Linked DNA regions of Macaca mulatta. The protein of the gene in region 5 interacts with the protein of the main gene of each other region in a pairwise test. Links are inferred from orthologs where the notes say so. Each region holds a gene or a part of one and is shown on either strand. Other genes may lie near its edges.

Region 1 (3,798 bases), on a different chromosome or scaffold from region 5:
TAATTTGAATTGTGGAAGTTTAAAATTCTTGGGTTTTCTACATGTTTATTTGTCATTATGAAGTTATAGTCGTGTATCGATATTGCTCGTTACACTCAAAGAAGGGGTATAGAATGAAGATTTAGCACGCTAGATTAGGTGTGAGAAAACCAGGAACCTTTGGAAGAAGACATGATAGAACTTGAGAAATTGAGGAGATGATCACTTGGGATACAGTAGAAAGTGAGGAGGAAAGTGGTGGGAAGAGCAGGATTTATAGGACCCGACAGTGAATTAATGTGGCTAGGGATGCACACACACACAAAATCTTAATTAGTCAGTGACATACTTTCCTCTTAAAACTCTTAAGAGAGTTCACCACTTAGAACAATTACATGCATATATGTCATATTTGTGTGAATCATACTGCTCATTAATGGCTTATCATAATTCAGTCTGGTGTTCTAATGACTTATATCTCATCTCTCCAACTAGATTATAAACTCCCAGAGGGTACCAGCGACATTTTGTCTTTCTTTGGAACCTCCACAGTTCATTGCACAGTGCCAGGCATATAAACAACATGCAAAAAAAAAAGGATGAATAAATGGACTCACTTACGTTAGAAAAAAAATTTTTAATGCTTAACTCAGAGATACATATGGTTTATTTCTCCCAGTGCCCCACAGTGAACTGAATTCTAGAGTCACATTTTTGAATCTGAGCCAAATAAACATACTGCCACTTCGGTTAACCATTGTTTAAATGTTTACTTTCCTTGTCCTGTATTATTATATCTCTCAGGATTCTTTTGTTCATCCAGCTAATGAAATGAGGATTGGGGAACTTCACCCTTCATTAGCTGAGACCCCTCTGTACCCACCCAAACTTGTTCTGCTAGGGAAGGACAAAAAAGGTAACATTGTGAACCCAATGTGGAAAATATGCTACAAATGCATGTGCATGATGAATCGCCAGTTGTAAATTATGATACACCATAGTCTATACAAATGTTTTACAAATATGCATTTCTAACCTTAATCGGTATGGTTTCCATTTTTCATACTTGCTTTTCCGTGTAATTGTCAGTGTCATAGCATTATAACATTTTCCCCTTTAAATTTCAGAATCAACTGATGAGTCTGAAGTTGACAAAACTCACTGTCTGAATAACAGTGTTTCCTCAGGCACTTACTCAGACTACTCGCCTTCCCAGGCTTCCTCAGGATCCTCTAATACCCGGGTTAAAGTGGGGTCCTTGCAGACAACAGCTAAAGATGCAGTACATAATTCTTTGTGGGGTAACAGGTGTGTTTAGAATTCCCTCCTTTTGTTCCCAAACGTTTATTTTCAGCAACTTTTTAAAAAATGGAATCTTCTTAATTTTGGAATTGTATTCAGCACACAAGTGGCACAGAAGACAGAAGGGGCAGGTAAGCAAATGTTGTTCGCCTGGGACTGCCAAGAACAGATGAATCCATCTTACAGGGAGAGGCCATTGTTTAAGGAAGACATGGTAGGAGTTAACAGGATGAGATGGTAGAACAAAAAATTTTAAAAATAAAAAAAAATGTTAGCCCACTGATACTTATTGATGAGACATGGATGTTTTACCATACAAAATGGCATAATGAATTAAAATAAAATGCCAGTAAAACACTTATGTGTTTGGTCCAGAGTAAGTGTTCAATAAATTTTCATTGCTATCATCATCATAATAATTTTATCACCACCTGGAAAAGTTAGGATGTATTTTAAAGTACTTAATCTTTCCAAAATGCCTCCTCTTCTATATTACTCTAACTTTACAGATGAAAAAACAAAAACCACACACAGAGCACAATAAAGTGACTCAATAAGGCAGTGTTTTCCAGTTCTAATTCCATTTTGTAACTTGTTGCTATGTTTTATACTACAAATAGCAAATTAAAATTGTTATATGATATAGGTAGTCAATAACTTTTACTCATATTTTACTGAAAATATTGCCACTATTGGCAACGTCTTCTTTAGTAATTCATGAGTAACTTTTCCTATTCATTGATGCTCATAATAAAAATCTTAACGCTTTCAGTCTGTAAATTCATTATCTGCATTATTTCAGTATCTGCTAGAAATAACATGGTCAATGATATAAACATGTCAGGGATCTAAAGTCATAATATAATTTACATTCTACAAAAACATACCTGAATATGCTCTCTATATAGTAACATTTAGTGTCTTCAAAACCTGACCTTCAAGTAAAAGTTATCCGAAGACAATTTAGATTCATTACATACACCAAGCATTTGTAAGAAAGGTACTCTCAGCCAATAGTTCGAAATGTACCAAATCAGAATCTCCAGGAATGGATATCAGGAATCATGATTCTAATTAGACCCAACTCTTCGTCCTTTTCAATTTCTTCTTCCCATTGTGTTCACAGGATTGCACCATCTTTCCCACAGCCTCTTGATTCAAAGCCATTACTCAGCCAGCGGGAGGCTGTTCCCCCAGGCAGTATACCACAGCGTCCTGACCGGCTGCCCATGAGTGATACTTTCACTGACAACTGGACTGATGGCTCACATTATGACAACACAGGGTTTGTTGCTGAGGAAACCGCAGCTGAGAATGCCAACAGTAATCCTCTCTTAAGTTCGAAATCTAGAAGCACATCTTCGCATGGACGCAGGCCTTTGATCAGGCAAGACAGGATTGTTGGTGTTCCCCTGGAACTTGAGCAGTCTACACACAGACACACACCAGAAACAGAAGTGCCTCCTTCCAATCCTTGGCAGAATTGGACCAGAACCCCTAGTCCATTTGAAGACAGGACCGCTTTTCCTTCCAAATTAGAGACAACCCCTACTACCAGCCCATTGCCTGAAAGGAAAGAACATATAAAGGAATCTACTGAAATACCTAGTCCTTTTTCTCCAGGCGTACCATGGGAGTATCATGATTCCAATCCCAACAGGAGTCTTAGTAATGTCTTTTCTCAAATCCACTGCCGCCCAGACTCTTCTAAAGGTGTTATTTCAATTAGCAAAAGCACAGAGAGGCTTTCCCCTCTAATGAAAGATATCAAGTCTAATAAATTCAAAAAGTCACAGAGTATCGATGAGATTGACATTGGTACATATAAGGTGTATAACATACCATTAGAAAACTATGCTTCTGGGAGTGATCACTTAGGAAGCCACGAACGACCAGATAAGATGCTGGGACCAGAGCATGGTATGTCCAGTATGTCTCGAAGCCAGTCAGTCCCGATGCTGGATGACGAGATGCTCACCTACGGAAGTAGTAAAGGGCCACAACAACAAAAAGCTTCTATGACAAAAAAAGTCTATCAGTTTGACCAAAGCTTCAATCCTCAAGGATCAGTGGAAGTGAAAGCCGAAAAGAGGATACCACCCCCTTTTCAACACAATCCCGAGTACATGCAACAGGCCAGCAAAAACATCACCAAGGATTTGATTAGTCCTAGAGCTTACAGAGGATACCCACCAATGGAGCAAATGTTTTCATTTTCTCAGCCATCTGTGAATGAGGATGCTGTGGTGAATGCCCAGTTCGCAAGTCAAGGGGCCAGGGCAGGCTTCCTGAGAAGGGCCGACTCCCTGGTGAGCGCCACAGAAATGGCCATGTTTAGAAGGGTCAATGAGCCTCACGAGCTGCCCGCAACTGATAGGTATGGCAGACCTCCATATAGGGGAGGGCTGGATCGCCAAAGCAGCGTTACAGTGACTGAGTCCCAGTTCCTGAAAAGGAATGGCAGGTATGAAGATGAACACCCTTCATATCAAGAAGTGAAAGCTCAGGCGGGAAGTT
Region 2 (4,380 bases), on a different chromosome or scaffold from region 5:
TGCCTCAGCCTCCCAAGCACTCGCAGCCAACATGCTGAGCTAATTTTTGTATTTTTAGTAGAGATCGGGCTTCACCATGTTGGCCAGGCTGGTCTCAAACTCCTGACCTCAAGCAATCTGCACCACCTCAGCCTTCCAAAGTGCTGGGATTACAGGCGTGAGTCACCGCACCTGGCCTCAAACACCTAGTTTCTAGTCCCAATTCTGCCCCTAACTCACTGGACAACTTCAAAGAATCTCTTGATCTTTCTGGGCACAGCTGCCTCATCTGTAAGAAAAAATGAGAAGCCAGTATTGGCCATTATCTTTTGACCTCTTGCCCTCTTAGAGGAGGCTTAGCTCCCTTGAACCACCTCTTCACCTCTTTTTGTTGTTGTTGTTGTTGTTGTTGCCCTGGCTGGAGTGCAGTGGCATGATCTCGGCTCACTGCAGCCTCCGCCTCCCAGGTTCAAGTGATTCTCCTGCCTCAGCCTCCTGAGTAGCTGGGACTACAGGCGCGTGCCACCACGCCCAGCTAATTTTTGTATTTTTAGTAGAAACGGGGTTTCACCATGTTGGCCAGGATGGTCTCGATCTCCTGACCTCGTGATCTGCCCACGTCCGGCCTCCCAAAGTGTTGGGATCACAGGAGTGAGCCACCGCACCCGGCCAGCCTCTTAAAGTTATATCACTCCATGACATTGTTAAGAGCACAGATCACTTGCCTTCTGTGGTGGAGCTGTGACTCCCGGGATGAGTTATTTACCCTCTCTGTGTCTCAAGTTCCCTCATCCGCAAAATGAAAGTAAAGAATAATTTAGTGTATCCTTGGGTTGTTAAAGGGTTAAAAGGCTAATATAGGTAAGGTATTTAGAACAGTGGTTGACACAGATAAGGACTACCCTGGCATTAAGATCGTTATTATTCACTTAAATGGATACCTTTGTAGTTTTACATGAAATGTATTATTGATAAATCAAAAAATAGAAATATAGGCATAATCTGAGGATATGAAAAGACTACAGTGGATAACAGGCAGGAAGAGAGCTTGGAGGCCACTGTTTTTCCTTTTTTGAAAAAGCTTCTCTGTGCTTTGATTTTTCACGTATGTGTATATATGTGACACTAGTTTCTTAATGGAAACAGATTGAGCAAAAAGATCACTAAAGTCCCTCTTATCTCTAAATGTAGAGATTGACTATGATTTTCAAAGAGCAACATTTTCTAGGTGTCTGGCTTATCCTTATTTTCATAGCTTGACCATTTTTACTTTTGACCTTCCCAGGAAATCCTTATGAAGGTTTAAAATAAACACAATCACTTTGGTATGTTTATAATGGAGCAGGTTCCGACTCCTTGGATACTAGAGAAACCGGGAAAGGTGAAAATAGGAACTTTGTAAATACTTGGCCTTAGGGACTGGCTGATATTTTACCTCTTACCATCTTTTCCCAGAAACAATTCAGTTAACTAAAGGAAAGATCATAAAGTTAACAACCGCAACAACAAAAGCGTGGTTGGTAGGCAGCAGCCTGGCGGTGAAAGCGTTAACAGGGCTGGGTAAGGCGATCCCTTGAAATGAGTAAGACTGAGTGGTTAAAGTTTTCAAAGCGGTGGCAGCAGCGGCGCTTGGGGGAATGGAAGCCGGTTGGAGGGAGCCGCGCACCCCTGCTGCGCGGAGGAGGGGGCTGAGCTGAACTCAGCAGAGGTTACACGCACAAGGTTAGTGGCCCCCACACGCCTCCCCAGCCCGCCGCCGCGCTGACATCTTTGGAGAGGAGTCTTAGAAAGGCGAGGCGCCATCGCTCATTCTCGCGTCGTATCTGTCCTGCTGACTAGTCGCTAGTGGAGCCACTGGCCTTCTTGCCAAACCTCTGGGCTCAGTACTCACTGAAGCCCTGGCACTTGTGAGGGACAGCTGACTTCTTCCCACACTTTTCTAAACTGGAGGCTTCTTTTCATACATCCAAAAGGAAACTTGTTTCTGGAATACGTACTGTTTTCAGACCACACACACACACACATGCATACACACATACACACACACACACGACCCCTACCTGTATATGCTGCCCCAGTACGGTTTTTACAGGTTGTGACCACAATCCGGAATTCCTATCTGCTTCGTTTGAAACTGAGAACAATGTCAAAGTAACTAAACAGGCTGCACTACTTTACCTCGTGGGAGGAATATTGTCTCTGAGCCTAAGGTAATCAGAATGAGGAGAAAAAAAAAAAAAAGAACCAAAGATGAAAAAAGAAAAGAAACAGAGCTTCCAAGCACCCTGACTTGTAGTTAAGGCAAAACAATTTTTGGAAATGGGTTTCTAATGGAAATTTTTCATTGCTAGCATCATGTGGGAAGGTATATTGTAAAGGAAATAATTCTACATCTGCATGAGATTCAGATAAACGTACCGACCTAAACTAATCTGCATGTCATGCAGATAACAGATACACTTAGATTTAGGGGAAGGAGGAGGAGGAGGTAACTTCACAGAACTTGCGTTCGGAGGGGGCTTTGTTGTAAGAATTGAGACTGTCAGGAGCTTTCCCCAGGCAGGGGTGAAGGAACTCTTCCCGGCCCTGGCTGGTAGAGAGGGCTTGGGGAGCCACTTCAGCAGGCCAGTTTATTTCTCTGCTCTCCTGGCCACATAGGCAATGAACAGTCAGTCTTGTGCTCAGTGCTCCTCTGATCCTCACAGCAAGCACGAGTTGAGTCTTATACCTGCTAGCATTGAATCAGAATGAGTCACTTGAAACTTGGGTGCCGGAACAAAGTACTTGCAAACTGCCTTATGAGACACTGCCTCGATGTAGGTGGGATATACCTCTCGGAGCAGTCACATTTTTTTTCTCTCCTCTCCCTCCTTCAAGCAGGCAAGAATTCTGACGTTCTCAAGAGGCCAGCTCTGCCCCCGTTGCTCAACTGACCTTATCATGTGGACTCTGCTCCTCCAGGTGGGAACTGGAGTTTTGAAATAAAATGGATGATTTGACATTACTTGATCTTCTGGAGTGCCCTGTGTGCTTTGAGAAGCTCGATGTCACAGCCAAAGTCCTCCCTTGCCAGCACACCTTCTGCAAACCATGTCTACAGAGGGTTTTCAAGGCCCACAAAGAGCTGCGGTGCCCCGAATGCAGGACGCCTGTGTTTTGCAGCATCGAGGCGCTGCCGGCCAACCTGCTGCTCGTGCGCCTTCTCGATGGAGTGCGCTCAGGGCAGAGCTCCGGGAGAGGAGGCTCCTTCCGCAGGCCCGGCATGATGACCTTGCAGGATGGCAGGAAAAACAGGACCAACCCCAGACGTCTGCAGGCCAGTCCTTTCCGGCTAGTGCCTAATATCAGAATCCACATGGATGGGGTAAGAGAGATCTTATTTGTTAATATCATGCCCACATGGAGGTTGGATTTGTGTATACAAGGAGCTAGAGATTATCTTCTTTTAACTACAAGTTTAACATTCCAGAGTGCTGCTGGTGATTCCCCAGTGATACGTTTCTGTGGGCAGTGATCATTTTACTCAAATACGATGGAAGCCTGAGCCTACCTAATCTATCTAAGAATTCTCTTTAGAACTACTAAAGCTTCCTAGGTTCTCCTTTCCTCTTGTCCAGAAAGTAGTAGAACAAGGAAAGCCTTTTAGATTATATTTTTGGTGTTTGATTTCTGCTCTTCTGAGGCCAAACCAGTGCCTGGGAAATGCACGGAGGGTGGGGAAAAAAAAGAGAAAACAAATCCAACTGCTTGTTGCTTTTGAGATCTCTTGGAAATTTCCAAATGTCAAGTTTTTTTTGAATTTTACCCAAATCCATCTTCCCACCCCTAGTCATAAAGTGCTATTATGGCAATACTCATTCATAATCTGTTCGAAGCTATCAAGATACTTGACGAGGGAGATAGTGCGGGAGGGAAGCGTCTATGTGGGTGGACTGATTGATAGCGAAGGCTGGGCTGTGAAGTACATCAGCTGTGTATAGAAGCTCTGCAGATGTGTCTCATTTTGCAAAATGAATGAAATACACAGAAGATACACAGCAGGCGCTGCAATTAAAAAACCAAACAGACCCAGTTAAGCCTCGCAGGAGATTAATGCTTTTCATGTTTGGATAATGGGAATCGCTCTGTCCAGCACTGAAAGCACACCCCGAGGACTTCATCTGACCTGGCTATGAGTCTTGTTGTGGGATAATGTGTAAGGGCACATCTGGAAAGAAGGACATGGTCCTTGTGAGTCCAGCAGAATTATTTGCACTGTCACCCCTGGAGTCAGTGTAACAAAGTGGACACGGAAAGCTGTGGCTTGGGCCATTGGCATACTTAGAAAATCAAAGCTGCATTCCTTGAAGTCTTACCTAGAGCAAGCGTTAGAGTCTAAATGCTGGCAGCAGGGTCCTACAT
Region 3 (3,798 bases), on a different chromosome or scaffold from region 5:
CGACAAATTTTTTGTGTTTTTGGTAGAGATGGAGTTTCACAATGTTGCCCAGGCTGGTCTCAAACTCCTGAGCTCAAGTGATCCACTCAGCATAGCCTCCCAAAGTGCTGGGATTACAGGTATTATGAGCCACCATGCCCGGCCGTATTTTCCCATTTTATAGATGAGAAGGTTAAAATGCACATCTCGAATTAGTGAGTCAAGTTGAAGACCCAGGCCTTCTGATATAACTGCTTTTTTTTTTTTGTCATGAGATCACACATTTTAAAATTTGGTTCTTGAATAATATCTTTTCAAAAATACTTACCTTTACTCCAGCTTCTTTTTTAAAAGAATTTGAGGTGAGATTCTAAAGTATAAGCTATACTTAAGCATGGGAGTGCTCATAAATTATGTTTCATGTATGTGGAACCTCTTGACATTCAGCATAGGCATTTAGCCACAGTGAATGAGCTGTTAGTTCCTGGGTGTGCCTTCTTCCAGAAGACACTGGCAGGGTTCAGGCAGCATTATCTTATGAGCATGTAGTGTGTGATTTGTAGAATAAATAGGTTAAAGATCTTTTTTATTTCAATAAAAATGACTATTTAATTCCGCTGATTCCCATTTCCTCCTGATTATTTCATAAAAGCAGCTTCCAGTTCTGAATAGCTTGTAATTACTTACTAGTTCTTAAATACTGTTCCCAGAATCACTTGGGTGGCTTAAAAAAAAAAAAAAAAGCACATTTCTGGGCTCCAAGCCAAACCTATAGAAGCAGACTCTGGGACGCATGAAAGTTCTTCAGTTGACATGGATGTCCACCAATGATGGGTTAGTTTTAGAGGCCCCAGTACATTTGGTGGCCTCCTTCCCTAACTGCCCTCTCCTCTGAAAAAAGCAGCAGGTGGGTAACATAGCCCAATGGAATAAAGGTATTATTTTGAAATTGCCATTTTATCGATCCCTGAACCAAAGTCACTAACTAGAGGAAGAGAACAGGCATGTTTGTGGCTAAAAGGAAGGATGCATTGTAGTTCATCCTGAGTATGTATCTGCTATGTTTTTGCAGCATTGGGCTCTAATGGAAGAGCTAAATCGCAGCAAGAAGGACTTTGAAGCAATCATTCAAGCCAAGAACAAAGAATTAGAGCAGACCAAGGTACTGGAAAGAAGATGGAAGTTTAGAATTTGGTTAGTGCATGCAACTCAGCATTTTCAACAGTGTAAGGGTTGCTATGGAGAATGAAGAGAGAAATCATGGCTGCTCCTTGCCTCTGGGGAAATAATCTATAAGATTATAGAGGTCTATAGAAGATTCTGCCTGTCAGACAACATCTATTTCCTTCCCTTGTTCAGAAGCAAAATGCTAGGAATAAGGCACTTGCATCCTGCATTCTAGTCCTTTGTCTATGGTGGGTACTCCTTCAGGGTGTGTCACTGATACAGACTGAGGAATATTGTAGTCAAGAAATAGTTCCTCCTGAACTATGTAATTTGAATTACATAAAGTAAAGTGAATTACTTAATGCAATTCCTTCCTGTGTCAAATCAGGAGAACTCTTGAATTAGGGGTTATAAACTTAAATGCCCACCAGGGCCAGACTGGTAATCTAAGTGAGTGAAGTGGCCTGAATGTGAGAACACAGTAGGGAGCTGTGTGGGCTATGGTTCATTGGATGGGGTATTTGCCCACACCCCCATCCCAGGAGGCAACTCTTCTCTGCTCAGCCAATTGTTGCCGTCCAGAAGTGCAGGCCCAGTGTTGTCAGATCTTCTGATTTTTCCACAGCAGATGAAAGTCCAAATGTTTAAGTGAAATATCCCAAAGTTTAAATATTGGCAACAACTTCAGCTTTTTGTGTGTGTTTTCTTTAATGTGAAGGCCAAATTAAACAAGTCTGCAGGGTGGATCCAGTCCACAGGCCACCAATTTGCAACCTCTGACCTGACATTAATACCTGAGTCTGACTGCATCTCTCATCCCACCCCCTCCATGTACAGACCTAGAGCTGAAGGAGGGACTTTAGTTGGTTTGATTTCCTGTTTAAATCACATAATACCTTCCTCTTCAACCTCCAAGAAACTACCACATCTTTTTAAACCCAGTGATTCCTAAGTTCTCAGGGAATTTGACTATAGTTAAGGGGGTCCAGACTTTCTTCACTGCCCTGAGCAGTCTGCCAGTCTGCTTTGAGTGGAAAAGAAAACAAAAAGATGAAAAATGAGCCGGCCACTCAAATATACCTCAAATGGCCTATCCTGTCCCCCTCAGGGGCTCTTAATGCTTTCTGTTTTGGGGGTGAAGTGCTAAAATAAATGTCTGCTTCAAGAGAGCATACCTAGGATCCTCCTTAAAAAGCGTGTTCACCCGCAGTCTGACCTCTTGGGGAAAGCCGAGGAGATGGTACTGCAGGCCTCTGCAGGCGTGGGAAGTGGCAGGTATCATAGAGCATGGAGCCTGAAGGTAATTCAAGAGGCCTTTCTCCAGCCTTCTGCCTCCAGAGGTGTGCCTTACTTTATAGAAAAGGCAGCTGCAAAGAACACTTTAACTTTATAACTAATTCAAGTTTCCTGCCTCTCTGGACTATTCATGCGTCTTTTCTTGTCCAGTGAGTTTTTCATTATTTGGGATGATCTTATGTAACGTCCGAACTACGGCTTGCTATAAACTACTTAATGTCCCATCTGGTCTTGGGTGGTTGGTGTGGTTAGTATACCACCTGCATTTTTCTCATTTGACTAATTTTGGGGAAGGAGACAGAAACTGCAATGCAAATACTGAAAAAGTGGTGTTTTAGTCCATTCAGGCTACTACAAAAAAGACCCATAAACTGCATAGCTTACAAACAACAGAAATTTATTTCTCACAGTACTGGAGGTTGGGAAATCCAAGATCAAGATACTGGCATATTTGGTGTCTGGTGAGGGCTATCTTCTGTTTCATAGATAGAGTCTTGCTGTGTCCCTACATGGTAGAAGGGGCACATGAGCTCTCCTTGGGCCCCTTTTATAAAGGCCACTAACCCGATTTATGAGCATGGAGCCCTCATGACCTAGTCACCTCCCAAAGGCCCCACCTCTTAATACCATCACATTTGAAAATAAGTGTCAACATGGGAATTTGGGAGGAAGCACAAACATTCACACCATAGCAAGTAGGGAGAGGAAAGAAAGAAGGTTAGTGCTCTGCATTAGAAAACAATTATTAACAATAACCCTTAGGGAAAGTGTTCTTAATGTTGCTATACCAGAATGAATCATTCATTAAGACTGAATCCTCTTCTAAATAATTAACCCTGCTCCCTGTCCCCTTTTGCATTTTTGTTGGTTATCTGAATGACAGGTAGGATTGTGTGTCTTGCAGGAAGAGAAGGAGAAGGTGCAAGCACAGAAGGAAGAAGTTCTCAGCCACATGAATGATGTGCTAGAGAATGAGCTCCAATGTATTATTTGTTCAGAATACTTCATTGAGGTAATGAAGTTGCTCACCCCTTCTTTTTTTTTTTTTTTTTTTTTTTTTTTTTGAGAGAGTCTTACTCTGTCACCCAGGCTGGAGTGCAGTGCTGCGATCTTGGCTCACTGCAACCCCCACTTCCCGGGCTCAAGCAGTTCTTGTGCCTCAGCCTCCTGAGTAGCTGGGATTACAGGCACATGCCACCACGCCTGGCTAAATTTTAGTATTTTTAGTAGACATGGGGTTTTGCCATGTTGGCCAGGCTGGTCTCGAATTCCTGACCTCAGGTGATCTGCCCACCTCGGCCTCCCAAAGTGCTGGGATTACAGGTGTGAGTCACCACACCTGGCTGACCCCTTCTT
Region 4 (3,798 bases), on a different chromosome or scaffold from region 5:
AACACAATATTGAATTTTTTTAGAAAGCTTTTTCAGGGTCTATTGAAATGATCATATGGTTTTTGCTCTCAGTTCTGTTACTATGATGTGTCATGCATATTGATTTGTGCATGTTGAACCATCCTTGCATTCCTGGGATGAATCCCATCTGATCATGGGGAATGATCTACACTCACAATATTGTACAACCATCACCACTATCTATTTCCAAAACTTTTTCATCACCCCAAACAGAAACTCTGTACCCACCAAGCAGTAACTCCTCATACTCCCTGACCCCAGCTCCTAGTAACCTCTATTCTGCTGTCTCCATGAATTTGCCTTTTCTAGGTATCTTACATAAATAGAATCATACCATATTTGTCCCTTTGTATCTGGTTTCTTTCACTTAGAAATGTTTTCAGGCTTCATCTATGTTGTCAAATATATCAGAATTTCATTCCTTTTTAAGGCTGGATGATATCCCTAATGGTGTGTGAGGATCCCAATTTCTCCATTTCCTTACCAACAGTTGTTTTTCATTTAAAAAAATTATCATAGCCATCCTAGGATCCGTCTAATTTTGTCACATAAGGTGTTACTGTGTAAAGGAATGCAGATCTACGCAGAAGTCCCAGCCTCATCACTAACAGACTAACAGTGTGAGGTGGACAATCCTGGAGCTCTTAGTGCCTCAGTTTCTTCCTCTGTAAAGTGGAGCTAATAATGCCTGCCTGGCTAGGCTGTATAGGTGGAGTGAAGATAATGATGCATATAAAATGTTAGTACAGACTCTAGAATGTGGTAGCTATTATTTTCCACAGAATGTAAGCTTAGTGGAGGCAGAGATTTGGTCTGTTAGGCACACCTTAGTATCCCAACCCCTGGAGCAGTGAGTGGCACTCAGTAGGCACTCCAAAAATATCTGCAGAATGAATGAATTAACTCTTAACAAGCAGGGCTATGTCAAAGTGCGTTGTCATGGATAGTGAGGACCCTGTTACTGGCAGTGTTCAAGCGTGATCTGCATGAACACTGAGTGGCGACTATGTACTGGGCCCCGTGAAATAATAACAAGATGAAAACGCACCCACCTAGCCTTCAAAGAGCAAAGGCTACAGAGTTGTGGGGACATAAGTCCCCCATAACTTACGATGCAAGCCATGCAGGCTCCTGGCAGATGGGGTCCCCAGGGAAGATAGCCAGGAGGGCTAGGGGCTTGAGCTGGAGCATCCTTGGGGCAGGTGTGGCCCTGACCCAGTGAGGCTAGCCTGGCTGCCACCTACCCTGTCCCAGGTGCTGCCAGACCGCGACGGAAAGCGCTGCATGTTCTGTGTGAAGACAGCCACCCGCACGTATGAGATGAGCGCCTCAGACACGCGCCAGCGCCAGGAGTGGACAGCTGGTGAGTGCTCGCTAGGTGGCTTGGGTCTGGCTGGTCCTTAGGCGCCTCATCTGGGAAAAGGGGGTGATAATACTTTGTCCAGCGGGAGGTTGGAGAGTGGACTCGGGCCGTGTGCGAGGATCCGACTGACCCGCTCCCGCTCCTCGGCAGCCATCCAGATGGCGATCCGGCTGCAGGCCGAGGGGAAGAAGTCCCTACATAAGGACCTGAAGCAGAAACGGCGCGAGCAGCGGGAGCAGCGGGAGCGGCGCCGGGCGGCCAAGGAGGAGGAGCTGCTGCGGCTGCAGCAACTGCAGGAGGAGAAGGAGCGGAAGCTGCAGGAGCTGGAGCTGCTGCAGGAGGCGCAGCGGCAGGCGGAGCGGCTGCTGCAGGAGGAGGAGGAGCGGCGCCGCAGCCAGCACCGCGAGCTGCAGCAGGCGCTCGAGGGCCAACTGCGCGAGGCGGAGCAGGTGGGGTTCGCTCCTGGCGCGGGGGACTGGACCGGCGGGCTGGGAGGCTGCGGGGCGGGCCAGCGGGGGAGCGCCAGGGGCGGGGCCTGGGCAGAGGGCGGAGCTCCTGGGTTGAGGGGCGCGCACTGGGGTGGGACTTGGAAAGAGGGATTGTTGGGACAGAGTCCGCGGGTTTGAAAGAGATTTGGGATGGAGCTTCCGCCGGGGGCAGGGCCTGAGGCTAAGGAAGGGGTGTGGGGCGAGGTCCAAGCCGGTGGATGGATGGGCCTGGTTTGGAGACCTTGGCTGTGGGTTGGGGCTTGGGCAGAAGGAGCCGTTGAAGACCGTGTGATTGGGGATTAGATTGGACCAAGTTTGGACTAGACTTGAACTGAGTTTACAGTGAAACCAGTTTGAGAGGCAAGCGGGACGTGTATGGAGGCGGACTAAGCGTGCAGAGGCAATTAGATTTAGGATTTAAGAAACCTGGATCTGGAGTCAGAAACATGTAGATTCAATCTTAGCTCTGCTTCTTACGAGCCCCGTGATGCCAGGCAGGCTCATTTTACTGAGCCTTATCTGTAAAATGCTAATGCTAATAGAACTTTGCTCACAGAGGTACGGTGAGGGTTAAATGAGGAAACACTTGTAGTAGTGTCCAGTAACTTTTCGTTGTTATAATTGGGTTATAGTCACCTCCTTCCTAGCAGCAGCCATGATTATAACATATTGTTATATATTATAATAATTATTAAGCTAGTGCTAGGAAGGAGATGACTATATTTTTGTATCTTATTTAATTATATAATGTTGTTTAATTACATATTATATAATTATGATTAAGGTTGGTACTAGAAAGGGAATACCTTTAGCCCGTTTCCCCCAAGTGGCATCTGTTCACTGACCATTATCTGTTCCAGTCAGGCTCTCAGAAAGGGGTCAGATCAGGAAACCCCAACATGAAGGCGTTCCCCAGACTGTTACCCCTAGGCAGCTTAGCAGAGTCCTGGGGAAAGAAGGGCAACATGCCCACCCCCTCCTCCCCTGCCCCCACGTGCCCCTTTTGACCTGGCTCTGGGTCCACCACCTCCCCACTCCACAGGCCCGGGCCTCCATGCAGGCTGAGATGGAGCTGAAGGAGGAGGAGGCTGCCCGGCAGCGGCAGCGCATCAAGGAGCTGGAGGAGATGCAGCAGCGGTTGCAGGAGGCCCTGCAACTAGAGGTGAAAGCTCGGCGAGATGAGGAATCTGTGCGACTCGCTCAGACCAGGTAGGCCTGAGGAACTTCTTCAGGTTCTCCCACCACCCCTCGTGGAACCCACCCCAATTTTCCTGCTTGCCGCGCACCTGCAAGGTGCCTTGGCACTAGAGACCACACAGTACACACTCGCCCGGCAGACTGCTGGAAGAGGAGGAAGAGAAGCTGAAGCAGCTGATGCAGCTGAAGGAGGAGCAGGAGCGCTACATCGAACGGGCGCAGCAGGAGAAGGAAGAGCTGCAGCAGGAGATGGCACAGCAGAGCCGCTCCCTGCAGCAGGCCCAGCAGCAGCTGGAGGAGGTGCGGCAGAACCGGCAGAGGGCCGACGAGGATGTAGAGGTGAGGCCTGGAGTGGGATGGGGTGAGGCTGGCAGGGTAAGCTCATTAGGGCACAGACTGTGGAGCCAGGCTGCCTTCCCTGAAACCCTGGCCCTAGCAGCCGCTAGCTGTGCGACTTTGGACAAATTCCCAAACTTCTTGGAGTTAGTCTCTCGCCTGGGAAAGGAAACTGGTAATAGCGTTGTTATGAAGATTAAATGAGATGATACACGATATTTAGTATGTAGTAAGTGCTGAAGAAACATTTGCTGCTATCTTTGTTCACATTATTATTAATCTGGGCAAAAATTTTTCCTTCTACCCTTCCAAGCCCCTGTCTTGCTATCCTTGTACTTTGGTTCTACTCCTTGGAGCCTGAATCTCCATAAATTCAAACACAGAAATATGTAA
Region 5 (3,798 bases):
GCAGGAGGGTCACTTGATCCCAGGAATTCGAGGCTATAGTGCATTATCATTGCACCTATGCATAGCACACCAGCCTGGGCAACATAACGAGACCTTGTCTCTAAAAAAAAAAAATAGTGGCTGGGCGCGGTGGCTCATGCCTGTAATCCCAGCACTTTAGGAGGCCAAGGCAGGTGAATCACCTGAGGTCAGGAGTTCGAGACCAGCCTGGCCAACAGAGCATTAGATAGGAGTTCTAAATTTCTCTTCAAAGAATCAATATATCAGTATGTTCAATTCTCTGCCTTCTACTTTTAAACTTAACTTCCTTGTAAAGCAACCTTTTTCGATCACCTGTTCCACCCTGACCCATTCTGATTGCCTGCTCCACCCTAACTCATTTCGATTACCTGCTCCACCCTGACTCATTCCGATTACCTGCTCCACCCTGACTCATTCCGATTACCTGCCCCATCCTGACTCATTCTGATTACCTGCTCCACCCTGCCTCATTCCGATTACCTGCTCCACCCTGACTCATTCTCCACCCTGACTCATTCTCCACCCTGACTCATTCCGATTTCCTGCTCTGCCATAACCAAACCACTCACCCGGTCACTCTCTTTAAATTAGCCAATCGGAATTAGTTTAGTCTGTGCGGTCTAACCCTAGCCAATAGGGGAATGACAGCAGCAGGGGCCACATGTGTCAGGGGTAAGAACCCCTTCTCCTCCCTTGTCCAGGTGTGTGCTCACCATTACTCCATCTGTGAGGGCGCACCCTTCTATAGAAGTAAATTGCCCTGCTGAGAAGAAAAAAAAAAAGAAAATTTTATATTCGATTGCTATTTCTTTTGTGGCACCGAAACCTTATTTATAACAATAGTGAAACCTCGTCTCTACTAAAAATACAAAAATTAGCTGGGCATCATGGTGCACGCTTGTAATTCCAGCTACTTGGGAGGCTGAGGCAGGAGAATTGCTTGAACTCAGGAGGTGGAGGTTGCAATGAGCCAAGATCGCGCCACTGCACACCAGCCTGGGTGACAAAAGACTCTGTCTCAAAAAAAAAAAAAAAAAAAAAAAGTTATTAACAGTTCTGGCCAGGGGCCGTGGCTCAGGCCTGTAATCCCAGCACTTTGGGAGGCTGAGGCCAGTGGATCACTTGAGGTCAGGAGTTCGAGACCATCCTGGTTAACATGGTGAAACCTCATCTCTACTAAAAATACAAAATGTAATAGGGCATGGTGGCGCACACCTGTAGTCCCAGCTACTCGGGAAGTTGAGGCACAAGAATCACTTGAACCCAGGAGGCAGAGGCTGCAGTGAGCTGAGATCATGTCACTGCACTCCAGTCTAGGCAACAGAGCGAGACCCTCCCTGCTCAAAAAAACAAAACAAAATAAAACAAAAAAAAAAACAGTTCTCAGGGCCAGGTGCAGTGGCTCACTCCAGTAATCTCAGCACTTTGGGAGGCTGAGGTGGGAGGATCACTTGAGGCTAGGAGTTTGAGACCAGCCTAGGCAACATAGTGAGACCCTGTCTACAAAAAATTTTAAGATTAGCCAGATATGGCTGCATATACCTGTAGTCCTAGCTACTTGGGAGGCTGAGGTGGGAGGATTGCTTGAGCCTAAGAGTTCAAAGCTGCAATGAGCCATGATCACGCCACCACACTCCAGCCTATGCAACAGAGTGAGACCCTGTCTCTTGAAAAAACAAAAACAAAAATGTACACACACACACAAACAAGTTGAAATTATTGCTCCTCTTGTTTTTGTGGTTGAGTCTTCACTGTGTGATTCTTGTTCCATGAATTTAGAAGGTGAGAGTTGGTGGATAGCTTCTAGAAGTGGGTTTGAATAGGAAAGATGAAGGCTGTATCAGAGCTATGATGGTGCCACTGCACTCCAGCCTGGGTGGCCTGGGTGACAGAGCAATATTATCTCTTAAAAAAAAAACAAAACCCCACCAGCTGGCTGTGGTGACTCATACCTGTAATCCTAGCACTTTGGGAGGCCAGAGGCAGGTGGATCACGAGGTCAGGAGTTCAAGACCAGCCTGGCCAAGATGGTGAAACCCCATCTCTACTAAAAATACAAAAAGTAGCCAGGCGTGGTGGTGGGCACCTGTAATCCCAGCTACTCGGAAGGCTGAGGCAGAGAATTGCTTGAACCCGGGAGTGGAGGTTGCAGTGAGCCAAGATCGTGCCACTGCACTCCAGCCTGGCAACAGAGCGAGACTCAGTCTCAAACACACACACACACACACACACACACAAACACACACACACACACACACTAAAAAAAACTGTATCAGGATCAGTTTTCCTTCTTAACCTCTAAAGACAGATTTTTTTTTTTTTTTTTTTTTTTTTGAGACGGAGTCTTACCCTGTGACCCAGGCTGGAGTGCAATGGCACTGATCTCGGCTTACTGCAACCTCCGCCTCCTGGATTCAGATGATTCTCCTGCCTCAGCCTCCTGAGTAGCTGGGATTACAGGCACTCACCGCCATGCCCAGCTAATTTTTGTATTTTTAGTAGAGACGGGGTTTCACCATGTTGGGCAGGATGGTCTCGATCTCCTGACCTTGTGATCCTCCCGCCTTGGCCTCCCAAAGTGCTGGGATTACAGGCATAAGCCACCGTACCCGGCCTTTTTTTGTTTGTTTTAGATAGGGTCTCACTCTATCACCCAGGCTGGAGTGCAGTGGTGCAAGCATAGCTCACTGCAGCCTCGACCTCCCAGGCTCAAGCAGTCCTCCTGCCTCAGCCTCCCAAGTTGTTGGGACTACAGGCACGAACCACCATGCCCAGCTGATTTTTAAATTTTTTGTAGTCTCACCATGTTGCCCAAGCTGGTATCAAACCCCTGGGCTCAAGCAATCCCTCTCACCTAGGCCTCCTGAAGTGCTGGGATTACAGGTATGAGCCACCATGACTGGCTTTAAAGACAGATTTTTTTCTTGGAACAACACTCACCAGTCATGTGACTTGGGGTAATTTAACATCTATGGACTTTAGTCCACAGAAAATCAGAATTAAAGCAGGGTCTGATGACTTGTTTATGAAAATTAAATAAGAAACTGTTGAAGCACTTAAAAAGCAATACAACATGATGCAAATAGAAACTTAATTGTTTTGGTGTCCAGCAGTTAGTTTGGTAGAAATTGAGCAATGTGTCAGAAGAGGAGACCCAGTGATTGAGCTGTTTCTTTTCTTATTACAGCTATCTCTGAAGGGCACAAATCAGAAAGCACCATGCCTCCTAATAAAGAGGCCAGCGGTCTCAGTAGTTCACCAGCGGGGCTCATCTGCCTCCCTCCAATCTCTGAGGAGCTACAGCTTGTGTGGACCCAAGCAGCCCAGACCAGTGAGCTAGACAGCAATGAACACCTGCTAAAAACCTTCAGCTACTTTCCCTATCCCAGCCTAGCAGACATTGCCCTTCTCTGCCTACGTTATGGGTTGCAGATGGAGAAAGTCAAGACTTGGTTTATGGCCCAGCGCCTCCGCTGTGGTATTAGCTGGTCATCTGAAGAAATAGAAGAAACTCGAGCCCGAGTAGTCTACCGTCGGGACCAACTCCATTTCAAATCCCTTCTCTCTTTTACTCATCATGCAGGACGGCCCCCAGAGGAGGTGCCTCCTCCTCCAATGCCAGCTCCAGAACAAGTTGGTATTGGAATAGGTCCTCCGTCTCTTAGCAAGCCCACCCAGACGAAAGGATTGAAGGTAGAGCCTGAGGAGTCCTCTCAGATGCCACCACTGCCACAGAGTCACCAGAAATTAAAGGAGTCCCTGATGACACCTGGCAGT
Region 6 (4,457 bases), on a different chromosome or scaffold from region 5:
TCAAAGTTGGACAGGTCGGTTACTGTACTTGATAAATAAACAGCCCAGTGACAAGACAGATAAATAAACTGACCATTTACACCTTAAAAAGGTGGTCAGTTGCTTAGGGAACTGGGGGAGGGGCACCAAATGGAGGAGTGGGGACATGGTAGGGAGGGCTTTTCAGCATAGTGAGTGAATGGATGCTCATTTGAAGAAACAACTTGTGTTTAAGGTGTTTTTGTTTCTTCCAGAGCTGGAATCTGGAAGAATTTCTGGGCTTTCCTGCTTTGAGGGAGAGATCAGGCTAGGTGCACTGCCAGTTTGCTGCTGAAGATCTGATTAGGTTCTACTTTGATCTGATCAAATGAGATTTAATCAATGCTGGTACTTTGATTAAGTCAGTTTGCAACTATTTAGTTGCTCTTTTTAGTGGTAATATTAGTAATGGTAAAACTTAGTGCTTTTAGGATGAGAGTAGGCGGCCTGAAGAATGGTATCTTGGGCTCTTCTGATTCAAGCCCTACGGCTCATTGGCAGGTCATCAGAGGAAACATCTATCTATCTGTCCATTCAAGAAGTATTTATTCGGTGCCTATGTGCCAGACACTGTGGGGAAAACAAGACACATGGGCTATTATTGCCTCATGGAAGGAACTAAGCTGTTTGGATCTTGACGAATCCCTTTCTCTGGGCCTCAATTCCTGGACCTGTTCAGAAATGTGCGCTCACAGTGGTCCTAGATATCTTAGATTCAGGTTCCATTTTCAGTTCTTTCCTGTTCTGCGGCCATCTGCAAGTTAATTTGATCTCCTTGAACCTCAGTTTCCTCATCTGCAAAATGAAGATGATACAACTCGTTTCATCAGGTTGTACTGAGGCTGGAAAATATAGTCTAACTACTGACGCATCGTATGCTCAGCCTAGGGTGGCTGCTACCGCGAGTACCTTAGGACTCCTAGGGCGGGCACCAGCCCGGGACCCCTGACAGGGTGTTCATTAGGGCGTGGCTAGGCCCCGGGAGGGGGAAAGCGTTAGGATTTATAAAGCCAGAGTCTGGCACGCTGGCCTCATTCCGTCTTGAACTAGACCCTGGAGAGGTCTTCCAGGCTTGGGCTCAGCACGCGAGCACCGGGAGCTGGGGTGCCTGCGGCGGAGGCGCACACGGTCCGAGCAGCCCCCAGCGCTCAGCGCGCACACCTGGGCCCGGGGCGCGAGGCGTGCGCGGCCGCTGGGTGGGCGCTGGGGACCTGGCCCTGGGGGCGGAGCCTGCGGCCCGCCGCCCCCCGCACACCCCAGCCGAGGCCCGGAAGGGGCCAGGCGCGCTTCCGTCTCCGCCGGGGATGCACGGAGGGCGGAGCTGCGGCCCGAGGACGCGACGCGAGCCCAGTTCCGGCGAGGAGGCCGCGCCAGTGACAGCGATGGCGGCGGAGTCGGCGCTCCAAGTTGTGGAGAAGCTGCAGGCGCGCCTGGTCGCGAACCCGGACCCTAAGAAGGTGAGCGAGGGGGCGGCGCGTAGCGGGGTGGGCGTTGGGTCGGTGCGGGCCCCGTAACGGTCGCGGCCCGGGCGCGGCGGGGTTCGGGGACTGGGACCCTGAGCCAGGCCCCGCGGGGCTGGGGTCGTGAAGTTCGCGGCCATTGGCCGCTGCTCGCGCGCTGGGACCCCGTGCGTCGGGCGTCGGGACGCCGGGCCCCGGCCGCTCCCCCTCCTTCACGGGCCCGGGACGGGGGCGCGCCCGGTGTGGACACCGCGTGCCCAGCGCTTCCTCCCGGAGGCGCTCCCGTGGCGTCCCGAGCCAGCTGTTTCCTGCGGGAGAGCGCGCCCGGGGCGGGAGGGCGCTGGCCACCGCCTCGCTGGCCGCCCGGTGCCTGCGCTGGTGTCCGGCTCCCCGCGGAGCGGCGCGGACTCACCAGCGGGTGCGTGTTCGCCGGGAGGAGGAGACCGGGCGCCCGAACGCTGCGGAGCCTGGGCTCGTGGTGTCGTCCGCGCCTCTCGGAGACGCGGTTACTACTCTCCGGCTGGATATCAGAACGTGGACCTTTCGCTTTCTCAGTGAATCTCTTTCAAAACAGAATAAAGCCTCACGTCACCTAGGCGTACTCCTGAAAACTTAGGTTTGAATTGAAAAAGAGGCGTGGGCCCGGGGTTGGAAGTCGCAGCTAGGTTTCCTTTTGGCGATTAATAGGAAGGTAAAAGCTACCGTTTCTCGTTGTTCGAATGATGGGCAACTGTTTTTAATTGTAGTTAACTAGTTTTTGTTGTTTATTGTACAAACTGAACATTAAGTTAAAAGCGTTCTTGTCACTCACTTCTCCATGGTCTCCAGGAGACAGTCTGGTGGTTGTATTTTTTTTTTCTTTGAGACCAGTCTTGCTCTGGTCGCCCAGGCTGGTGTGCAGTGACGCGATCTCGGCTCCCTGCAACCTCCGCCTCCTGGGTTCAAGCAGTTCTCTGCCTTAGCCTCCCCAGTAGGTGGGATTACAGGCGCCTGCCACCACGCCTGGCTAATTTTTGTATTTTTAGTAGAGACGGATTTCACTGGGTTGGCCAGGCTGGTGTTGAACTCGGCTGTCAGGATTTTTTAAGTGGAAATACAACGATGAAAGCACTACGTGTTTGGCATTCTCCGTCATCATTCTGGCCCGGGCGGGCAGTTCTTGGAGTTGGAGCTCAGTCCTGGTGGAAGAGGAAGTCGTGGAGGGAGCGCTAGGGCCGTGGGGGAACTGCTTTGCGGAGCCTCTTCCTCACCTGCTGCTTCCTAGGACTAACCTGAAAGGCTAAGGTACCAGGCTGAAAGTCAGTGCTCAGAAGATACCAATCGTCGTTCTTCGGGGTTTTTTTTTTGTTTTTTTTTTTTTTTTTTCTTGAAGAGCCACTTTCTCTTTACCTTGTTCTAGCCTATTGGAGGTAAGGTTTCTCCAATTCCAAAGGCCGTACACAGCCTCTCACCATCAGACCACTTTTTAAGGGTTCTCGTTCATACCTAGCTCGAAGATTCACTTCTTCAGGAAGCCATTTTAGTTACAAATCTGGGAAAATTTAAAATGCTTTCATTGTGCCATGTTTTCTGTTGCAGCTTCAGTACCGTACCTAGTGGTCAGGCATGCTTACAAGTTTCTTTTTACAGTAACGCCTTGTGGACGTCTAATAAATGGTCATTATTTTAGTACTAGTTTGTTTTCCTAAACACTGTAAGATCTGTGACTGACGTTTGATACCTTAAAGCAATGCCCCATTTGTTCTTTATTTCTGTCAGATAAAAATATTCTATGAGTGTCTACAGTCTTTTTTTTTTTTTTTTTAACTAGAATTTAGATTTGGAAGTAGTTTTTCTATTGGTTGATTTGCATGAAATATAAAATTAGGAAAAGGCTTATTCCACCTTAACCTAGTTGAATTATTAATGATTTTGTTTGTTTGAGGATTTGGGCTTTTTCTAGATAAAAAATCACCCTGAATTTCTAGCTTTGCATTGTGAAGTGAGCATTATGAAGATGAGAAAATGTTGGGAGATCATTTTTGCAAAGGGCATAATAGTCGACATTGAGAAATGAGTTAACTGCAGAGGGAAAACTGCAAGCTGGCATGTTGGCCTTGTTCCTTTCAACCTTCTGGTAACCTAACAAGCTCCTACAGGTTGTATGTGAAATTGCAAGATGATTATATAGCACTGTTGAATTTGCAACCAGATCTTGCTTTCAAACCATTATTAGCCAAGGGTTTGATTCCACACGTATGTTCATGGATTTTCTAGTATTAGACATTGCTGTAACTCTGTTTTCACTTTTTCATCTATCATCTTGGCTCACTTGAGGGAGAAGGTATCAGCAGGCTAGGGCCACTTGGTTTCTGTTTTTATGTTTCATAGTTCATGGCTAAGAAAAGTTACCTGTCCTTAGGCCGAGTGCAGTGGCTCACCTGTAGTCCCAGCACTTTGGGAGGCCAAGGTGGGTGGATCACCTGAGATCAGGAGTGTGAGACCAGCCTGGCCAACATGGTGAAATCCTGTCTCTACTAAAAGTACGAAAATTAGCCGGGTGTGGCGGCAGGCGCCTGTAATCCCAGCTACTTGGGAGACTGAGGCAGGAGAATCGCTCAAACCCGGGAGGCAGAGGTTGCAGCGAGCTGAGATTGCGCCATTGCACTCCAGCATGGGCAAAAAGAGCAAAACTGTCTCAAAAAAAAAAAAAGAAAAGAAAAAAAACTGCACACACAGAGTTGGCCGGGCGCCATGGCTCACATTTGTAATCACAGCACTTTGAGAGGCCAAGGCGGGCGGATCATGTGAGGTCAAGAGTTCGAGACCAGCCTGGCCAATATGATGAAACCCTGTCCTACTAAAAATACAAAAATTAGTTGGTCATGGTGGTGGGTGCCTGTAATCCCAGGTACTTGGGAGGCTAAGGCAGGAGAATTGCTTGAACCCAGGAGGCGGAGGTTGCTGTGAGCCGAGATGGCATCATTACACTCCAGCCTG
Region 7 (4,336 bases), on a different chromosome or scaffold from region 5:
CTAACTCTCACAATCCAGTGAGGTAGAAATTTTCACCCTTGTTTCACAGGTTCCGTCTCAAGTGGTAGTAGCAGGCTCAGAATTCAAACCCAGATTCATCTGACTCCGAAACCATACACTCAGAAAGATCCAGGAAATGCCCCCGCCCACTGCCCCCCCCGGGAAGTAGATGCATCCGAGGAACTAAAAATCTTACATGGAAGTCAAGCCAGAGCTCCAGATCTGCAAGTGTCTTTCTTTTAAACCTCAGTGAGAGCTGCCTGATAGCCAAGAACAGTGGCATTTAGTTCAATGGGGATTTTAGATTCGTCTTTCCAGTGTCCTCACTCCTGAGTAAGAAGAAGGACAGAGCACGTTGGTATTTTCCTGGCAGCAGACACATGTTAAAGGAAATTTGATAGAAAGATAGAGATGGGGGTTGCTATTTTTAAAGCCTGCCTTCTCTGTATCCAGCCTGCCTCCAGCATACCAGCATCACCAGCAGTGCTAAGAACAGCTGTGGAGTAGGGGTGCTGTGGGAGACCTAGGTGACACTGAAGAGGAAAAATGCCCCCTTGGAGCCTAAATAGTACTGTTACGTATATGCCAAGGGCTCAGTTTAGCTTCTTCTTCTTTTTTTTTTTGAGATGGAGTCTCACTCTGTCGCCCAGGCTAGGGTGCAATGCCGCAATCTCGGCTCACTGCAACCTCTGCCTCCTGGGTTCCAGCAATTCTCCTGCCTCAGCCTCCCAAGTAGCTGGGATTACAGGCACCTGCTACCACGCCCAGCTAATTTTTGTATATTTAGTAGAGACGGGGTTTCACCATGTTGGTCAGGCTGGTCTTGAACTCCTGACCTCAGGTGATCCACCTGCCTCAGGCTCCCAAGGTGGGGATTACAGGCATGAGCAACCGTGCCCAGCCCTCAGTTTAGCTTCTGCTGCTTCCTGAAAACAGTCCACCCTTGGGAGAGAGACTGAAAAGGGTGGGGCGAGGGGCCCACCTCACTTGAGAAAGTGCAAGCCTGACAGCTGAAGGGTCCCAGAGCAGCAAATATCACCTTGTTTCTCTTGGACTACTCCAGTTGTCTGCTTTTGATTGACAGAGGCATCTGGCTGCTAAAAATACACTCCTGACCAAATGCTCCCTACTCCAACTAAAGCCGAACAGGATTGTTGCAGTTCAGAACTTAGCATATACAGAGCTTCTGCTTGCAATGGAACCTCTCAAAACTTTTCAGGTCCTATCCCAGAACCATATTAAGCCATGGTCATTTTCTCTTCTGTTAGCTTTGCTGGGTGATGAATGAAACCCTTCCCAGTTCACTTGTTCTCGTGCCTGTCCCATTCCCACCTCCAGAAAAAGTAGCAGAGGGGGAGGTGAGGGCCCAGTGGCTGAGAGCGGGCAGGGAAGGGGAGGTGGCTTGTCCATTTATAGTCTTGCTCTTTGGGATGCTGAAGGTGCTGAAATAGCAATGACAAGAGACTTGGCTCAGTGTTAAATATCTGCTGCGCTGGCCTGACAGACTCTGAGATGACAATAGGGAGAATGGAGAATGTGGAGGTCTTCACTGCTGAGGGCAAAGGCAGGGGTCTGAAGGCCACCAAGGAGTTCTGGGCTGCAGATGTCATCTTTGCTGAGCGGGCTTATTCCGCAGTGGTTTTTGACAGGTATGAAATGTGGGGAGTTGCCTTCTCTCCTGTTGGTTTGGCTGGTGCCAAACTCTAAAATACTTTGCTCTCAAAAATCATCAGGGGAAGGGATAAAATTCATGTGCTCTTTTTTGAACAAAATGACACTTCTGAGAGCTAACTTTTCTGGCATAAATTTTTCTGCAAGGGGTCGTTGCCAGTGTGATTTGCTGTGGCTCCTAGAAGGATGGTGAAGGTGAGCAAAGGCTTCAGGGGCACTTTCTCCCAACATTGGGCAACTTGGCTGAGAGGGTGTGCTGGGAGTGGAAAGGTGGGTGTGGTGCTGTGGGAAACAATTTCCGACAGAAAGCTCTATATTTTTAGCTTTTTTTTTATTATAAATATATTACCAGATAAAGTAATTGCTGAGACTTAAAAAAATAATAAACTGTTTGTATATTAATAATTATGAATAACACAGGAATCCACTTATCCTTGAAAAATCAAAGTATCATCCAATCCCAGTCCCCTCTGTCTTTCCTCAGATATTACCTTTGCTATTATTTCATTGTATTTCCTTCTAGAATGTTCCTGTGCTATTACATGTATATATCAGCATTTATCAAAATGGATGGCTGTAGTTTGCTTTTCTTTCTTTCTTTTTTTTTACATAAATGGTGTCATACTTCAGATGTCGTTTTAGAACTTGCTCTTTTCCCTAAACAACATGTTTTTGATGTCTATCCTTGCAGGAACTATAAATCTATAGATACTTCTTTTAAATTCCAAAGATCTCTTTCCTTTATAGAGCTATACATATAGATTCATATGCTATATGAATCACCAATCTTAATTTTAAATATTTCATCCTATAAATATATGACATTTTATTTATCCATGTCTCTCACCTATTGAGAGACAATTGGTGGTTTTTAATTTTTCATAAAAAAATGAAAATCCTCGATCGTGTCTACCTGTACATATGTGCGATTGTTCTCTAGGCCATAGGACTAGAAGAGGAATTGCTGGGCCATAGGATGTGATGTTTTCAGTTTTATAGGCTCTTCAAACAGGCTCTGTTAAATGTACATTCCCTCTTCTTCACTACCTTGGCCACCCTAGACTACCAAGCTTTTAAATTAGTAATAAATCTTAATTTTAAACAAATTTACATGGTGATGACATTAAAGTGCCAATATTTTCTGAGATCAAGGTTGGGGTGACCTGCTTGACATCTATGTGGTTTGAGTCTGATAACCCAGGCTTTGTGGTTGGCTGGCTGCACTGACCACCCTGGGAAAGGGCACTGCTTCTCAGAGATAACTTTATTAGTATTCACATTCTCTTGTCTTCCTGCCCACTAAGACCTTCAGGGAAAAGGGTGTGAACTGGGGCATATGGCTTACCACCACCTGAGGAATATATGGGGCTGAGGTGACTTTTTCAGGGGGAGCTTGTCTTATTTCATTAATTGTGTGTGTGTGTGTATGTGTGTGTGTCAGGGGAGGGGTGAGTACAGTTAGGGAGTCAGCTGAATTCAGAGTGAAAACACAACCCAGAAACACAGGGACTGTCAACACTAATCCTGGTGCTGCCAGTGAGTTACTGCCTGGCCTTGTGAAGAACATCTCCATTTGCTGCCTCCAATTCCCCAAAGTCAATCTAGCCAATCAGTTCCATTTCAAGAAGGTTAAAGTTGAATGGGCTTTCATTCCATTATAAAAGCAAGGCATTGTCATTTCAGAAAATTTAGAAAGGTAAGATATCACACAACGATAACCACTCTTAACATGTTGGGTATCTATTTTTGGTTTGTTTTAAAACATAGGTTTCATTTGGCTGTAATATACTCATTATAGAAGCTATTATGCTTTTTCATTTAATAATTTTGACGTCTTCTGTGCTATTATACACTCTTCAGAGACAGTACTTGAGAGCTACATGTTCTATTACCTGCTGATGACTGACCATTTGGATTGTTTCCATGTTTTTGTTATTATAAATAATTTGTCATTGATTTGAAGTAACAACTATAAAAACACTTCATGTACATTGAGGATAAATACTACATAAAATCATATATTTTTTTACAGTAGTAATACAAGTGGGATAAATGGTATAAATGACCTTTAAAATGATTGAAAAAAAAATCTAAAAGAGATAGTTTTTTTCAAAAAATGCTTTACCCAAACTTGTCACTGCACAGATGAGGGAGCTATGCTTTCTTTGGTTATACCAGAGACAGTCCAAAGAGGCATTAAAGGAAAGTTTTATGCACTTTAGGCTCCTGGTGAGGCTCAGCCACCGTAGATGAGAAACTTCATTGCAGAGGTGGAACTCATCACCCACAAAAGTCACTGTATAAAACTGGCTTATTCTAATCCATGTTATGGCAAGACAGGCTTTCCTAGTCTTCCACAGAAATGTGGAGAAAGATTATATTTTTAATTGAGCACTGCATTAAATGAAAATTAATTCTTTCAAACTGTGTATTATATATTCTAACATATATATTATCTATTATATTGTATATATTCTAACATATATTATACAAAGCATAGCAATAGATCAACACCAAACCAACTTAACTAGAATATTCCAATATGTTACATCTTCTCTATCCTGTCCCATGCCTGCTCCAAAGGTAATTATCCTAGGTTTTGTGTTGTATATTCTACTGCCTTTTAAATAATAGTTTTGGCCGGGTGTGGTGGCTCATGCCTGTA

The links.
Region 1: the proteins of HOMEZ (region 5) and LRRC7 interact in a two-hybrid assay, tested with the Homo sapiens proteins (2 studies listed by BioGRID). The two-hybrid records come from large-scale screens. The link is inferred for Macaca mulatta from reciprocal best matches to the Homo sapiens genes HOMEZ and LRRC7.
Region 2: the proteins of HOMEZ (region 5) and SH3RF2 interact in a two-hybrid assay, tested with the Homo sapiens proteins (2 studies listed by BioGRID). The two-hybrid records come from large-scale screens. The link is inferred for Macaca mulatta from reciprocal best matches to the Homo sapiens genes HOMEZ and SH3RF2.
Region 3: the proteins of HOMEZ (region 5) and RNF8 interact in binary tests that used the Homo sapiens proteins (3 or more experiments, as listed by UniProt). The two-hybrid records come from large-scale screens. The link is inferred for Macaca mulatta from reciprocal best matches to the Homo sapiens genes HOMEZ and RNF8.
Region 4: the proteins of HOMEZ (region 5) and DEF6 interact in binary tests that used the Homo sapiens proteins (3 or more experiments, as listed by UniProt). The two-hybrid records come from large-scale screens. The link is inferred for Macaca mulatta from reciprocal best matches to the Homo sapiens genes HOMEZ and DEF6.
Region 6: the proteins of HOMEZ (region 5) and ELOA interact in binary tests that used the Homo sapiens proteins (3 or more experiments, as listed by UniProt). The two-hybrid records come from large-scale screens. The link is inferred for Macaca mulatta from reciprocal best matches to the Homo sapiens genes HOMEZ and ELOA.
Region 7: the proteins of HOMEZ (region 5) and SMYD1 interact in binary tests that used the Homo sapiens proteins (3 or more experiments, as listed by UniProt). The link is inferred for Macaca mulatta from reciprocal best matches to the Homo sapiens genes HOMEZ and SMYD1.

Annotation. Positions count from the first base shown.
Region 1 is NC_133406.1:170,595,841-170,599,638, reverse strand, and holds part of LRRC7 (leucine-rich repeat-containing protein 7), read left to right. Parts: intron 1-783; coding exon 784-895; intron 896-1,106; coding exon 1,107-1,287; intron 1,288-2,407; coding exon 2,408-3,798.
Region 2 is NC_133411.1:154,819,005-154,823,384, forward strand, and holds the start of SH3RF2 (E3 ubiquitin-protein ligase SH3RF2), read left to right. Parts: upstream 1-1,546; 5' UTR 1,547-1,701; intron 1,702-2,792; exon of another isoform or gene 2,793-2,859; 5' UTR 2,860-2,965; coding exon 2,966-3,343; intron 3,344-4,380. UniProt on the Homo sapiens protein: Has E3 ubiquitin-protein ligase activity. Acts as an anti-apoptotic regulator of the JNK pathway by ubiquitinating and promoting the degradation of SH3RF1, a scaffold protein that is required for pro-apoptotic JNK activation.
Region 3 is NC_133409.1:144,861,214-144,865,011, reverse strand, and holds part of RNF8 (E3 ubiquitin-protein ligase RNF8), read left to right. Parts: intron 1-1,051; coding exon 1,052-1,141; exon of another isoform or gene 1,142-1,173; intron 1,174-3,346; coding exon 3,347-3,454; intron 3,455-3,798. UniProt on the Homo sapiens protein: E3 ubiquitin-protein ligase that plays a key role in DNA damage signaling via 2 distinct roles: by mediating the 'Lys-63'-linked ubiquitination of histones H2A and H2AX and promoting the recruitment of DNA repair proteins at double-strand breaks (DSBs) sites, and by catalyzing 'Lys-48'-linked ubiquitination to remove target proteins from DNA damage sites.
Region 4 is NC_133409.1:146,958,859-146,962,656, reverse strand, and holds part of DEF6 (differentially expressed in FDCP 6 homolog), read left to right. Parts: intron 1-1,275; coding exon 1,276-1,384; intron 1,385-1,534; coding exon 1,535-1,833; intron 1,834-2,914; coding exon 2,915-3,081; intron 3,082-3,209; coding exon 3,210-3,408; intron 3,409-3,798.
Region 5 is NC_133412.1:96,375,749-96,379,546, reverse strand, and holds part of HOMEZ (homeobox and leucine zipper protein Homez), read left to right. Parts: exon of another isoform or gene 1-808; intron 809-3,208; coding exon 3,209-3,798. UniProt on the Homo sapiens protein: May function as a transcriptional regulator.
Region 6 is NC_133406.1:217,252,809-217,257,265, reverse strand, and holds the start of ELOA (elongin-A), read left to right. Parts: upstream 1-1,367; 5' UTR 1,368-1,400; coding exon 1,401-1,475; intron 1,476-4,457. UniProt on the Homo sapiens protein: SIII, also known as elongin, is a general transcription elongation factor that increases the RNA polymerase II transcription elongation past template-encoded arresting sites.
Region 7 is NC_133418.1:26,091,529-26,095,864, reverse strand, and holds the start of SMYD1 (histone-lysine N-methyltransferase SMYD1), read left to right. Parts: upstream 1-1,402; 5' UTR 1,403-1,512; coding exon 1,513-1,649; intron 1,650-4,336. UniProt on the Homo sapiens protein: Methylates histone H3 at 'Lys-4' (H3K4me), seems able to perform both mono-, di-, and trimethylation. Acts as a transcriptional repressor. Essential for cardiomyocyte differentiation and cardiac morphogenesis.